Struthio camelus: one gene and its partner. The protein of the gene in region 1 interacts with the protein of each later gene in a pairwise test. Links are inferred from orthologs where the notes say so. Each region holds a gene or a part of one and is shown on either strand. Other genes may lie near its edges.

Region 1 (7,365 bases):
CACAGCAGACTTGATATTTGTGGCATATTCTCAGATCTTCCTCTGCAGCCCTCTGCGAGTGTCTGGGACTGCAGGTTGCCTCTGGCTGTACGCGAGCACAGGTAAACGAGGGTATGTTTTTATAGGGACGTCAGCTTGTTTTAGTAAAGCTCTCCAAGCATCTGTCCCAAGAGCAGAGAGGGAAGTTGCAGCAGGGCTAAAAACTGAGTGCAGATCTACTGCATCTGAGCTGTAACACGTCTTTTCCTTACATTAAGTTCAGCACCAGAAAGCAACTGAAGTCTCCCACTGTGGTCTTCACATACTGACCGGAGAGGTTCAGTGACTTCACAGCCCCTCTGGTTCCCACTGCGGAGAGGTGCTTGAATGATTGTTATCCAGCTGAAGCAGCATGCCACAATACATGTCATGAGTTGCCAAAAACTCAATAGAGCGGTGCAAACATTGGCTCTGGAGGGCAACCTCCTAGAACAGGTCGGTCACAACTCCCGTCCCCGTAGGTGACTCAGGGCAGGTGTTGGTGGGTAGAAGTTAACAGAACTGGCAGCAAGCAAGAATGGGGCTTTCATAGCATTCCTGCAGCTGCAGATAGCACAGAGCAAGGAGAGATCTGCATCTTTAACAAAACACTGGAAGCAAGTGACTTGTCAGCAGGTCCTGTAGTCACTTGCCACAAGGTGGCTGCTCTGTTAAAAGGGCTGCGGCCAGGCAGAGGTGCAAGGACACTCAAACAAGGCTCTGGCCGCAGCCACCACCCCCTCTGCCAGCACCTGGTTAGAAAGGCGCTCCCAGCATGGGAACCCCAGCAACGTAACAGAGCCCAGTTTTACAAATCTCGTGCCACGTTTTACAGTCCACAAGCACCAGAAATAAACTCCTCCTTCCCACCCAACACCCTCCTTGCTCCCGCTCTCCATTCCTGCCTCGCCCAGGAATGTACCTACCCCTTTCCACAGACGTGCCTGTGCTCTGTCAGTGGGACAAATGTACAGGCCAAAGACTGTATAAAGTATAAGCTCCTTAAGTAGATCTTTTAAGATCAACGTGCTTTCATTTCTAGTAAAGCTCTCTGAAAAGGCCTGTATAAATACTCCAGAGTGTGCTGGAAAAACATTTTGATAGCAGAACAGGAAAAGCACTCTGCAAGTGTAAAACATTTTCATGTGCTGTGAGCCTCCTGACCTCACCTCATTCAAGATAAAACTTGGTAAGTCTCAGTCCCAGGATCAGGGAGGCTTTTGATCCTGAGGTATATCCCTTCCTCAAGCTAATCTATTCTTGAAAGAGATAACAAGAAATCAGATAAACAATGAGCCTCCTGACTCCCTGGATGTCTTCCAATGGGATAAGATTAATTTCAAATCTTGAACAATCTTTGATGTTAGTAACAGTCCAGCTAAGGAACAAGTAGATGATAGTAACCAAGAGTCCACATTTCCACAAGTGTTGGACTGACAGACCTAGAAGCACATGCAGAGGAGTGTATATAGCCACCTACCTTCCAAACTCTCCTGAGCATCTGGAGAAAGACCCCCATTCTGTAGCTGGTCATGTAAAAACTGGATGATGGAGTAGGCAAGGCGCTTCTGGTCTGCCATTCTAGGAGGCTGTGATCAGTCTGCTCTGACTTCTTGTAACTTAAAAAGTCTGCAGAGAAACATGGTCAGGAAGTCAAAGTTTCTCTTTCCCAGGATGAAGGGAAAAGGTAAGCGAATGCTTGGGAACTGGCTAAGGCCTCTGGAGCCTTCATTAAACTCTTTAACAAAGACTCCTTCGCATTAACTGCCTCCGGGCCTCAGTTCACCCTCTTCAAAGGGAGCAGTACAGCACTACCCTGCCCACGAGGCTACTGCCCAGGAAAGAACATTACAGGTGTTACAAGAACATAGGCTAGACTTTGTCACAAGTCTAGACAAAGTGAGCACTGAGGAGCTCATCACTAATAAAACCCCAGCCTTCCTCTTCCAAAGCATGATCTGGTTCTGAAGCAAAGACAACAGCTGAAGCAACTTGCCAATGTTAGCAGAGCCAGGGTTCAGGGCTATCAATCCTCTGCCCAGTTTGCTGCCTACCCTGCTCAGAAGATCAAGTTCCCCTACAACTCAGTGAAGTAGGCCACAACAGAAAACGAGGACACGTAGCAAGGCAAGCCCCACAAGCATACCCTGAGGTAGGGGTTTTGCAGAGATCCACGTGCATGTTCTGAAAAGAACAGGTAGGTGCGTTTGCCTGGCATTGCTGCTGAGCTAAGCTGCTCTGCCTTTCCAGAACACTTAGCTAGGTTTATAGCACAGAAAAGCCATTAGGGTCATTTAGCTGACGAACTGAATTGTTTAAATGTGAAAAGCAAACCCAGGAGAACTGCCCCGGCCCCAAACCAATGAAAAGCCCCAGCGGTAGTAGCAGGTCCCTCTGGGGAACGGCAGCACCAAGCTCCCAGCCCCGCCGCCAAGCGAGGCCAGGGGCCACAAACCCGAACAGGCACCGGGGGGGCTGCCAGCAGCAGGCAGGGGAGAGGAAGGCGCCTCTCCTCCCCCAGACCCCGAGGGCCCCTCAGCCCGGTGCGGGCCGCGGCTCTCCCCAAAGGGCACCGAGACCCACCGGGGCCCGGCCCACCGCCGCCGGGCCGCTCGCTAGCGGGCAGCCCCAGGGCCCGGTCAATAAATGGCGCTTTAGGGAGAGACGGGAGCAGCGGCAGAGTCCGCCCGCCGCCCGGGGCCTGCGGCGGCCGGGGAGCCCCCCGCGCACCGGCCTGGCCTGGCCTGGCCTGGCCCGGCCCCACCGGCTGCCCCGGGCGCGGGAAACGCCAGGCCTCACCGCGCCCCCGGCCGCTGCCCCCTACCGAGACGGGGGCCGAACCAGCGCTGGACAGGGAGCGCGGCGTAGCCTCCCGTAGGGCCCAACCCGGCCCCGGTACCGGCGCCCCCGCCCCTCTCACCGGGCGCCCCGACACTCGCCTCAGCCGGGGCGGGCGCAGCACTACGCACGCGCGCCGCCCCGCCCACTGCGCGTGCGCGCTGCCGCCCGCCCACTGCGCACGCGCTTCCTGCCGCCCGGCGCGCGTGCGCCGCCGCGAGGCACCGCCCGCCCCCAACCCGCCGCAGCCCTGCGCGGCTGTGGCGGGGGTGACGCATGCGCAGTCAGCCCCGCTCCTGAGGCCGCTGGGAGAGGGCAGAGAGGCCGGAAGTGCAGCAGTCGCTCCTCCCTGCTCGTTACCATAGAGAGGGAGGGGGCGCGTCGCCATGGAGACGGCGGGGGCGCGCCTCGCCGGCAGGGCCCGGGCCCACCCCGGGCTGCGCCCGCTCGCCGCGGGGCTCCGCTCCCGGCCGCCGCCTGCCGTCTGCCGCCGCACCGCGGGGCCTGAGCGCCGCGGCCGGGACCCAGCCCCGGCTCGGAGGGGTGGCTCGTCCGCCTCCGTCGCCTCGATAGGGTGAAGGCAAGGGGAGAGCGGCCGAGTCCTCCACTCCCACAATCCCTCGGCGCGGCCGCTCTCTCCCCCGTCTCTATGGTTGGGCATATGCTTCGTGCGTGGGGCCGGCGCGGTCTCATCGCGCCTCGTCAGCAGGAGCGGGGCCTCCCGGCGGCCCCGGCATGGCTCCCCCGACAGGTACCGGTTCCGGGGGAGTCTGGGCGCGGGGAGGGGGCCCGTGAAGGGGGCCGAGAGGGGAGCTGGGTGGGAGGTGGGGCGAGAGGCAGCAAGGGAGGGGTGAGAGGGGCTAGGACAGCGGGGAGGGGCTGAGGGGGCCGTGAGAGGGGCTAGGACAGCGGGGAGGGGCTGAGGGGGCCGGGAGAGGAGCTGGGACAGCGGGGAGGGGCTGAGAGGGCCGGGAGAGGAGCTGGGACAGCGGGGAGGGGATGGGGGGGTCCGGGAGAGGGGCTGGGACAGCGGGGAGGGGACGGGAGGGTCCGGGAGAGGGGCTGGGACAGCGGGGAGGGGACGGGGGGGTCCGGGAGAGGGGCTGGGACAGCGAGGAGGGGACGGGGGGGTCCGGGAGAGGGGCTGGGACAGCGGGGAGGGGACGGGGGGGGTCCGGGAGAGGGGCTGGGACAGCGGGGAGGGGACGGGGGGGTCCGGGAGAGGGGCTGGGACAGCGGGAAGGGGGTGGGGGGGGTCCGGGAGAGGGGCTGGGACAGCGGGGAGGGGGTGGGGGGGGTCCGGGAGAGGGGCTGGGACAGCGGGGAGGGGGTGGGGGGGGTCCGGGAGAGGGGCTGGGACAGCGGGGAGGGGGTGGGGGGGGTCCGGGAGAGGGGCTGGGACAGCGGGGAGGGCCGGGATGAGAGGCCTGGGACAAGAACAAGGGGTTGGAATAGCAGAGGATTGCTGAGGGCTTGCATGTGGGGCAGGGGACAAGGGGGACAGTGATTGCATAGGGAGCAAGAGGGAAGGAGCCCCACAACAGCTTTGCGAGGGGGCTGTGGTCTTCCCCCGGCCCCAGCTGTCACCTCTCTCCTGCGTAGCCCCCTTCCCAAGCAGAGCCCGAGGCTTGTGCCCGGGCTGTGACAGCCACCCTTGCTTCTGTGGCCAGATGCACCTGCCAGAGGCGCAACGGGTGAGGGAGCAGGGAGGGAGTCAGGTTTCTGTGAAGGGCTTGTCATAACTGAGAGGGTAAACAGCGCCTGGAAAATAATCCGGCTGCCGTTTGGATCCAGCACTCGGGTCCCTCAGGAGCCCGTTTGCCCGTACGCATAGTTCATTTGCTGGGCCTCTCCTTTAAGTGCTTTTCTTATCGAGCTTTAGATATGCACCTGAATTTTCCTTCCAGCTCATGTAAGGGAGGGACATGTAACTCTTCATGCATGGGTTTCCTTCCTACTTACCCAGGTAACGTTGTGGACAGCCAGTCCCCCAGGCTATTAGCAAATCAGCTAAGATGGGACCTGACCGCCGAACAGATAGAAAACATGGCTGTGGAGCTCACAGAGAGGACCAAGCTTGTGTATGACCGGGTGGGCTCCCAGGAACAGGGAGAAGTGTCCTACGAAAATACTCTCAAGGCGCTGGCTGATGTGGAAGTGGAATATACAGGTAGGTAGACACAGAGGGAGTACTTGCTTTCTGGAAGTCTACAGGTTATGAATTTTTTTTTTTTGTCTCTGCTTCTCTGCTCTGTACTGTCATCTCCTTTTTTTTTTTTTTCCTTTGGCTCCCTCAGCACTATGTTTTTTTTTTTCCAGTTAATATTTGTAGAGCTAGATACAAACACAAAGAAAGGAGTAGTTTTGGAACAGAAGTGTAAGTAGAACATGAGGACAGAGCTTTGGCAGTGCTATTGCTTTGGCAATGGGGTGGTCTCTGGAAAGAGTAACAAGGTTTTCAAGGTTGTCTCATACTTTTTTATGCCAAGGTGCCTTTAGCAGGAGTAAATTGTGCATTGGCAGACACGGTTTGGGTGATATAAGAACTCTTCAGCTCTTTTTCTTCTCTGCATGGATAAAGGTATCTCTATCTCGTCTATTTAAACAGTGTACTAGTTTTAGAGATTAGGTGTAAAGTAACATGATGTGATGGCATCATGCTGGCAAATAATGCAGGCTTCAATATATCTCAGGCTAATTATTTACAGCACTAGAGTGCCAAAGTCATGCAACCCCCACCCCCCGCCTGCCTCATGACATCTATTGGCTCTTCTAACTCTGTATTGCGAGGTGATTACATCTGTCTAGAATAGAAGCAAGTGTGCAAGCTTCCTTTTTCTTCTATCTGGTTTCTTTTCTCTTAAAAAAAAAAAAAAATAAGGCACTTGCTAAGCAGGATAATGTTAACTTCAGCAGAACTGTCAGCACTTTCTGTGGGCAGCAGAGAGTAGCTGTGTGCTCACCTTCTGCTGGGTGGGGAATCCGCTTGCCTGGAGAGCAGTATTTTCCTGCTGGACTGTGGTTTGAGATTTTGCAAAGACAGTGGCAGGAAATATTCTCCCTATATTCACTTCTAAAATGGAAATAAGTTTGAAAATAAGTCGGGAAAGAGCAGACTGCGTACGTGGTAGCTTTTGAGAAGCATCTGCACTGAAGTTGTGTCACTTTTAGCCTGGTTTCCTGAGGGAAGGAGACAGGCAACGACGCTGCCTGCGTCTGCAAGTATAGACATCTGTTCCCTTTGTGAGACTCTTCAAACTGTTGGTATCGGCTATAGCTGACAAAAGAGTTGAGATCTCACAAGCTTGAAATTCCTGCAAGTTTTGTGAGAGAGATTGTAGTGGGAAAGCAGTGGACAGATCTGGTCAGTAGGCTCAGCAGCAAGCAAGGAATGAAGGGGTGCTGTGGGTGACTGGATGCTGCCCTAGGGGTGACGCCTCTGGGTCTGTCTGTTGGCAGCAGTTTGCCTTGCTCTCCCTTTGTGCAGGCTGTAGATCAGGCTCCAGGGCTATCAGGCTGCCTCCCAACTAACACAGACTCTCCACGTGTGCTCCCACTCCTGAGCAGTTGTGGGACACAAAGCTGTTGCCTTTGCCATAACCCACGGTCTTTTCAGTCCGTAGGAACATGCTGGACTTCCCCCAGCACGTGTCTCCTTGTAAAGACATCCGTGCAGCAAGCACCGAGGCTGACAAGAAGCTCTCAGAGTTCGACGTGGAGATGAGCATGAGGCAGGATGTGTACCAGCGGATTGTCTGGCTCCAGGTATGTGCTTGGGAGGATGCTCGGTGTCCGACTGGGTGTGAAAAAGGCTCAGCATCTGAGCACAGAACAGAAACCTCTTGGAATTACAAGAAACCCTTTTCTCTTGTCCCAGAACTTAGAATTGAATGGTATTAAATGAACTCTGTAGGCAGTATGGTCCAATTGTTAGAGTGAGAACTGGGCAATTGGGATTTGAAGGTTCTGACCTCCCTCAGGGCCTTGATCACCTCTTTAGTAAAATGGTATTAGTAACCCTGACCTGCCTCCTTCAGGGAAGGGCTGGGTAATGCCCTGAAAAGTGCTCTGACACGGCATAGAGGTGAGATGTTTAAAGCAGATTCCTGATAGGAACTAACACATTAAACCGAAGCCTTCTCGTGGGGTGTTTCCACCTGCTTCTGGGTTACCATTATTACAATAACCCACAGCCTTCCTCCAGGAGCAGATACAGCAGCTGAGTGAATACCTGTTCCTTTGATTCCCTGTGCTCACGGATTTTGTTTTACAGGAGAAATCAGAGAGTGCTTCACTGAAACCTGAAGCAAAGAGATATCTAGAGAGGCTGATCAAATTGGGTAAAAGAAATGGTCTTCATCTCCCTGAGGAAACGCAGGAGGTGAGACCAAAAAGCTTAAAATAAGCACCTGTAGAGGAGGCCTTGCAGGGCTAGCGGGACAGTCTAGTGGTTTGAGCAGAGGCCTGAGGCTCAGACTCCTAAATTTTCTTCCTGATTCATGTGACCCT
Region 2 (7,253 bases), on another chromosome or scaffold:
GGGGGGGGTTCCCTGAGTGCTGCCGCCCCCACCCCAGGCTCTGCAGCACCGTTCACTCTGGAGCGGAATGATGGCCAGGGCTGAGTTTTGCGGGGGGAGAAGGGTGGGGGCTCCCCTAAAGCCTGGTTTTGGGGTGCAGGTGAGGGGGGGGGTCCCTGGGTGCCCCTCCCCACTCCCCCACCTCGTGCCAGGCTCTGCGGCACCGTTCACTCTGGAGTGGAATGACAACCAGGGCTGAGTTTTGCGGGGGTAGAAGGGTGGGGGCTCCCCTAAAGCCTGGTTTTGGGGTGCGGGTGAGGAGGGGGGGGTCCCTGGGTGCTCCCCCCCCACCCCCCCCCCCCGTGCCAGGCTCTGCAGCACCGTTCACTCTGGAGCGGAATGACGGCCAGGGCTAAGTTTGGGGGGATAGAAGGGTGGCGGCTCCCCTAAAGCCTGGATTTGAGGTGCGGGTGAGGAATGGGGGTCCCCTGAGTGCTGCCGCCCCCACCCCAGGCTCTGCGGCACCGTTCACTCTGGAGCGGAATGACAACCAGGGCTGTTTGCAGGGAACAGAAGGGTGGGGGCTCCCCTAAAGCCTGGTTTTGGGGTGCAGGTGAGGGGAGGGGTCCCTGGCTGCCTCCCCCACTACCCCACTCCCCCACCTCGTGCCAGGCTCTGCAGCACCGTTCACTCTGGAGCGGAATGATGGCCAGGGCTGAGTTTGGGGAGGCAGAAGGGTGGGGGCTCCCCTAAAGCCTGGATTTGAGGTGCGGGTGAGGAAGGGGGGTCCCCTGAGTGCTGCCTCCCCCACCCCAGGCTCTGCGGCACCGTTCACTCTAGAGCGGAATGACGGCCAGGGCTGAGTTTGCAGGGAACAGAAGGGTGGGGGCTCCCCTCAAGCCTGGTTTTGGGTTGTGGGTGGGGAGTGGGGGGTCCCTGGGTGCTCCCCCCCCACTCCCCCACCTCGTGCCAGGCTCTGCAGCACCGTTCACTCTGGAGCGGAATGATGGCCAGGGCTGAGTTTGGAGGGGGGAACGGAAGGGTGGGGGCTCCCCTAAAGGCCAGTTTTTGGGTGGGTGGGGGATCCTGTCTGCTCCCCCCCACTTACTCCCCCACCTCACGCCAGGCTCTCCAGCACCGTTCACTCTGGAGTGGAATGACAACCAGGGCTGAATTTTGGGGGGGGGGTGCTGAGCAAAGGTGGGGGCTCCCCTAAAGCCTGGTTTTGGGGTGCAGGTGAGGGGAGGGGTCCCTGGGTGCTCCCCCCCCACTCCCCCACCTCGTGCCAGGCTCTGCAGCACCGTTCACTCTGGAGTGGAATGATGGCCAGGGCTGAGTTTGGGGAGGCAGAAGGGTGGGGGCTCCCCTAAAGCCTGGATTGGAGGTGCGGGTGAGGAAGGGGGGTCCCCTGAGTGCTGCCGCCCCCACCCCAGGCTCTGCGGCGCCGTTCACTCTGGAGCGGAATGACAGCCAGGGCTGAGTTTGGGGAGGCAGAAGGGTGGGGGCTCCCCTAAAGCCTGGGTTTGAGGTGCGGTTGAGGAAGGGGGGTCCCCTGGGTGCTGCCACCCCCACCCCAGGCTCTGCAGCACCGTTCACTCTGGAGCAGAATGACGGCCAGGGCTGAGTTTGGGGAGGCAGAAGGGTGGGGGCTCCCCTAAAGCCTGGGTTTGAGGTGCGGTTGAGGAAGGGGGGTCCCCTGGGTGCTGCCACCCCCACCCCAGGCTCTGCAGCACCATTCACTCTGGAGCGGAATGATGGCCAGGGCTGAGCTTCGGGAGGGAGCAGAAGGGTGGGGGCTCCCCTAAAGGCTGGTTTCGGGGTGTGGGTGGGAAGTGGGGGGTCCATGGGTGCTCCCCCCCCACTCCCCCACCTCGTGCCAGGCTCTGCAGCACTGTTCACTCTGGAGCGGAATGACGGCCAGGGCTGAGTTTTGCGGGGGGAGAAGGGTGGGGGCTCCCCTAAAGCCTGGTTTTGGGTTGAGGAAGAGGAGGGGGGGGCTCCCCTGGTTGCTCCTCCCCACCATCCTAGGCTCTGCAGCACTGTTAACTCTGGAGCGGAATGATGGCCAGGGCTGAGTTTGGGGGTGGGGGGGGAGCAGGAAGGATGGGTGTCCCCTGGGTGCTGAGTGCCTCGCGCGGAGGAGGGGAGGGGGGTGCCGGCTGCCCATCCGGGGGTGCTAAAATTGGGGGGGGGCACAGGGGAAACCCCCCCTCCTCTCCAGGCCGCCATTTTGGGGTGCCGGTGACCCCCCCCCCCACCTCTCTTCCTCTAGGGCGCCATTTTGGGGGGTCCGGAACCTCCTTAGCGGAGCTGAAGGGGGTCCCTCCATTTGGGGAAGGGTCCCCGAGCTGCCTGGTTGGGGGGCGAGGGGGGGGAAGTCCTCCAATTTTGGGGGGGGGGGCGGAGGGGGGGGCAGGCACCGCTCCCTCACCGCGCTGGGCAGCCTCCGTCGGGGTGGCCATGGCCGGGTCGGGGCCGGTTCGGGTCCCTTCGGGTCGGTTCGGGTCTTTCCGGAGCCGGTTCGGGTCTTTCCGGAGCCGGTTCGGGTCCCTTCGGGCCGGTTCGGGTCCCTTCGGGTCTTTCCGGAGCCGGTTCGGGTCCCTTCGGGCCGGTTCGGGTCTTTCCGGAGCCGGTTCGGGTCCCTTCGGGTCTTTTCGGGTCCCTTCGGGTCTTTTCGGGTCCCTTCGGGTCTTTCCGGAGCCGGTTCGGGTCCGTTCGGGTCTCTGCCCCCCCCACCTCCCGCCCTGGCTGCCTTCGGGTCCGCTCGGAGCCGGTTCGGGGTCGGTTCGGTTCCGGTTCGAGCCGGTTCTGGTCGGTTCGGGGCCGGTTCGGCTCCTCTTCAGGCCGGTTCGGGCCGGTTCTGGTCGGTTCGGGGCCGGTTCGGCTCCTCTTCAGGCCGGTTCGGGCCGGTTCCGAGCCGGTTCGAGTCGGTTCGGAGCCGGTTCGGGGCCGGTTCGGTTCCTCTCCGGCTCCTCTCACAACCGGGTCGGATCAAGCCGGTACCGGCTCTGCGGCTGCGGCACTAACCGAGGGGGGGGGGGGGCGGGAACGGCCGAGGGGGGGGCGGAGCCAGGCGAGGCCCGCCCACTGGGCCCAGGAGTCCGGGGTGGGGGGGGGGAAAGGGGGGGGGGTTGGAGGGGCCCAGGCATCCGGGGGTGGGGGGGGTCGGAGGGGCCCAGGTGTCCGGGGGGGCTCGGAGGGGCCCAGGTGTCCGGGGGGGGGTCGGAGGGGCCCAGGCATCTGGGGGTGGGGGGCTCGGAGGGGCCCAGGTGTCCGGGGGGGGTCAGAGGGGCCCAGGCATCCGGGGGGGGGGGTCAGAGGGACCCAGGAGTCCGGGGGGGGATCGGAGGGGCCCAGGCGTCCGGGGAAGGGGGGGGGGTCGGAGGGGCCCAGGCGCCCGGGGGGGGGTCAGAGGGGCCCAGGCATCCGGGGGGGGGTCAGAGGGACTCACGTGTCTGGGGGGGGTCGGAGGGGCCCAGGCACCCGGGGGGGGGTCAGAGGGACTCACGTGTCTGGGGGGGGGTCGGAGGGGCCCAGGCGTCCGGGGGGGGTCAGAGGGGCCCAGGCGTCCGGGGAAGGGGGGGGGTCAGAGGGGCCCAGGCGCCCGGGGGGGGGGGGTCAGAGGGACTCACGTGTCTGGGGGGGGGTCGGAGGGGCCCAGGCGTCCGGGGAAGCCCCCCCCCCAATCGAGGGACCCCCCCCCACCTCAACCCGGTATCCCGGCGCTGACACCGCCTTTGGCAGCGCAACAGCGTGACGGCGCAACAGCCGGCACCGCCCCACCCCGGCGCCGCAACACCCGGCACTGCGACACCCGACACCACCCCACCCCGGCGCCGCAACACCTGACCTGCGACACCCGGCGCCGCAACACCTGGCGCCCCAGCAGAGCAACAGCCGGCACCGCAACCCCTGGCAGCAGGACAGCTGGCGCCGCTACACCTGGCGCCACGAACCTGGGGCAGCACAACCGCACGCCAGCTGGCACCGCGACACCCGGCAATGCGACACCCGACACTGCAACACCTGGCACCGTCGCAAAGCAGCAGCTGGCACTACAACACCCGGCAGGGCAACAGCCCCAAACCCCCCCACGCGGTAAAATGACACCCCCCTGACACCCCAACGCCGCAACAGTGTGACACCCGGCAGCGTGACAGCCAGCACGGCGACACCTGAACCACAACACCCCCCCCCAACATACACACACAGCAAAACAAACACCTCCGACAACCCAACACCTGGCCCACAATGCCCCACAGGCACCAAAACGACACCCGGCACTGCAACACCCGACCCACAACACCCCACATGCAACAGAACCACACCCGGCAGCACATCACCCCAACACTGCAACACCCGGCCACGCCACAACTAGACCGGCAACACCCGGCTGACCCACAGCATCCTGTCTTGCAACAAGATGACGCTGTGACACCCCATGACGGTGACACCTGGCCCACGGCACCCCACAACCAGCGAAACACCGCCTGCAACACTGCAACAACCCAACACCACAACACCCAGCAACGTGACACCCCCGCCAACACCCTGCATCCAACAAAACGGTGTCCTGGACACCGCAACACCCGACCCACAACACCGTTCAAGTGACAAAGCGGCACCTGGGACCAAGATACCCCCAGTACAACGGCAGGCGGTGCACAACACCCGGCGCACAACGAAAGGGCACCCAGCAATGCTACAGCTGGCATCACCGCAACCCACCCCTGCAACAACCCCTATGCAGCGACAGCCAACCTGCAACACCCCGCAGTCGACGTGACAGCCAGCACCACAACACCTGAACACTGCAACACCCAGCAGTTGCACAACTGGCCCCTTGGTACCTCCAACCCGGCAACAGCTGACCCAAGTCCAACAACACCCAGCATCACACACCCCCAACACCGTGACACCCAACCCCCAACACCCCATAGCCAACAAATCGATACTTGGGGCTGAGAAACCCCCAGCACAGCAACACCCGAACCGCAACACCACCGACAAGCGACACCCGGTGCCGTGACACCCCACCGCACAACACCTGGCGATGCGACAACCAGCCCCCACGATACTGCCAATGCCGCAACCCCCCACAACCGAACCTGGCCCCACAACACACTAATACAGCTACACCCAACACCTGGCAATGCCACAACCCGCCACATGACACCCCCCCCAACACCGCAACACATGACCCACAACCCGACCAGCAAAACAACACCCAGCACCCCAACACCCCAGCACAACAACGCATAACACTTGGTGATGCAACAGCCACCGATGTGACACCCCCGACAGGGCAACGCCTGACCCCCAACCCCAGACAACCAACAAAGCGACACCCGGCAGCGTAACAACCCAATGCCACAACACCCAGCAACGCCGCTACTGACGCCACGACACCCGTAACACCACAACACCTGGTGCACAACACCCCACAACCAGCAAAATGCCACCCGGCACTTTGACAGACAAACCACCGCCCCCCCAGCAACACCCGACCCACAGCACAACCAGGGAAGCGACGCTACACCGTGACTACCCTGATACAACAACACCCAGTAGGTTACACCCAACACACAAAACAATGCCATGACACCTCGCCACCACAACACCCCCAGCAATGTGACAATCAGCTGCTGGACACCCCCCAACACCGCAACGCCCAACCCACAACACCCCACGACTGACGAAACGGCACCCGATGCCGGCCACCCCAACACAACACCCAACGCCCAACACCTGGTAGCGCAACCACCGCCCACACAGCGCCCACAACACCCCGACACAACAGAACGACTCCCCAACCCTTGAGCCGCAACACCCCAACGGGCAACACACAACAAAAGAGACACCCAACCACCCCCCCCTCCAACTGGCAAAACAACACCCAGCACCGTGCCATCCCACCCGCCAGAACACCCGTCAACGCAACAACCACCACCAGGCAACACCCTCCTCCAAAAAAAGGAGAGACACCCCAGGCAAAAAAAAACACCTGACACAACACACGAACCCCCAAACCTGGCTCCCAACACCTCAACCCCCTCCACCTGACACCGCACACCCCACACCAGCAACAGCCACGGGCGGCGGTGGCAGCGTTTATTGGCTGGGGCCGGGGGGGAGGGGGCAGCAGGGACAGGCGGTGGTGCCTGTGCGACTGTCACGGCGTGCACAGGCGCGGGCGGGTGTTGCGGCTGTCCCTGCCGTGGGGGGGGGTCACCTGCAAGAAAGGGGGTGGGAGGGGGGGTCACAATGGGGAAGGGACCCAGGCGTCCGGGCGCCCCCTGACCGGGCTCCCGCCGCGCCCGGGGAGCCCAGGCGTCCCGGGGGCCCAGGCGTCCGGGTGCCGACTCACCCCCTGCCGCCGCTCTATCTCATCCGGGTGGACAAACCTGCCCAGGTGGGAAAGGGTGAACGGGGGGGGCCCAGGCGTCCGGGTTAACGCCGCCCCCCCCCCAACAAGGGGCCCAGGCATCCGGGTCCCCCCACCCCAAAGGGGCCCAGGCGTCCGGGTGCCACCACCCACAAAGGGCCCAGGCGTCCGGGTGTGATGCCAAAGGGGCCCAGGCGTCTGAGTGTGACCCCAAAGGGGCCCAGGCGTCCGGGTCCCCCCACCCCAAAGGGGCCCAGGCGTCCGGGTGTCTCCCCCTTCCAAGGGGCCCAGGCGTCCGGGTGCCCCCAAAGGGGCCCAGGCGTCCGGGTGACCCCCACCCAAAGGGGCCCAGGCGTCCGGGTGCTTCCCGCAAGGGGCCCAGGCATCCGGGTGGCTCCCACCCAAAGGGGCCCAGGTGTCCGGGTGCTTCCCGCAAGGGGCCCAGGTGTCCGGGTGCCCCCCCCACAAGGGACCCAGTTGTCCAGGTGGCCCCCACCCACAAGGGGCCCAGGCGTCCGGGTGCCCCCACAAGGGACCCAGGTGTCCGGGTGGCCCCCACCCACAAGGGGCCCAGGTGTCCGGGTGCTTCCCCCAAGGGGCCCAGGCGTCCGGGTGACCCCCACCCAAAGGGACCCAGGGCGCTCACGGCGGATGGACTGGCGCAGGGCTCCCTCCTCCTCGTCGGGTTCCCCCGTCCTGCAACAGCCGGCGCCACCCCAGTTACTCCCAGTTACTCCCAGTTGCCCCCCAAGTTACCTCCCAGTGCCTCCCAGTTGCCCCAGTGCCCCCCCAATTGCCCTCCCAGTGCCCCCAGTGCCCTCCCAGTGCCTCCCAGTTGCCCCAGTGCCCCCCCAATTGCCCTCCCAGTTGCCCCAGTGCCCTCCCAGTG

The links.
Region 2: the proteins of SGTA (region 1) and FXYD7 interact in binary tests that used the Homo sapiens proteins (3 or more experiments, as listed by UniProt). The two-hybrid records come from large-scale screens. The link is inferred for Struthio camelus from reciprocal best matches to the Homo sapiens genes SGTA and FXYD7.

The regions. Positions count from the first base shown.
Region 1 is NC_090967.1:6,823,875-6,831,239, forward strand, and holds the start of SGTA (small glutamine-rich tetratricopeptide repeat-containing protein alpha), read right to left. Parts: upstream 3,080-7,365; 5' UTR 2,958-3,079; exon of another isoform or gene 2,843-2,957; intron 1,648-2,842; 5' UTR 1,599-1,647; coding exon 1,499-1,598; intron 1-1,498. Other genes in the region: THOP1 (thimet oligopeptidase), read left to right, coding at 3,592-3,607, 4,823-5,026, 6,473-6,621, 7,130-7,237. UniProt on the Homo sapiens protein: Co-chaperone that binds misfolded and hydrophobic patches-containing client proteins in the cytosol. Mediates their targeting to the endoplasmic reticulum but also regulates their sorting to the proteasome when targeting fails.
Region 2 is NC_090974.1:305,438-312,690, reverse strand, and holds the start of FXYD7 (FXYD domain-containing ion transport regulator 7), read right to left. Parts: upstream 3,010-7,253; 5' UTR 2,610-3,009; exon of another isoform or gene 2,558-2,609; 5' UTR 2,442-2,557; coding exon 2,411-2,441; intron 1-2,410. Other genes in the region: FXYD1 (phospholemman), read right to left, coding at 6,361-6,383, 7,011-7,060. UniProt on the Homo sapiens protein: Associates with and regulates the activity of the sodium/potassium-transporting ATPase (NKA) which catalyzes the hydrolysis of ATP coupled with the exchange of Na(+) and K(+) ions across the plasma membrane.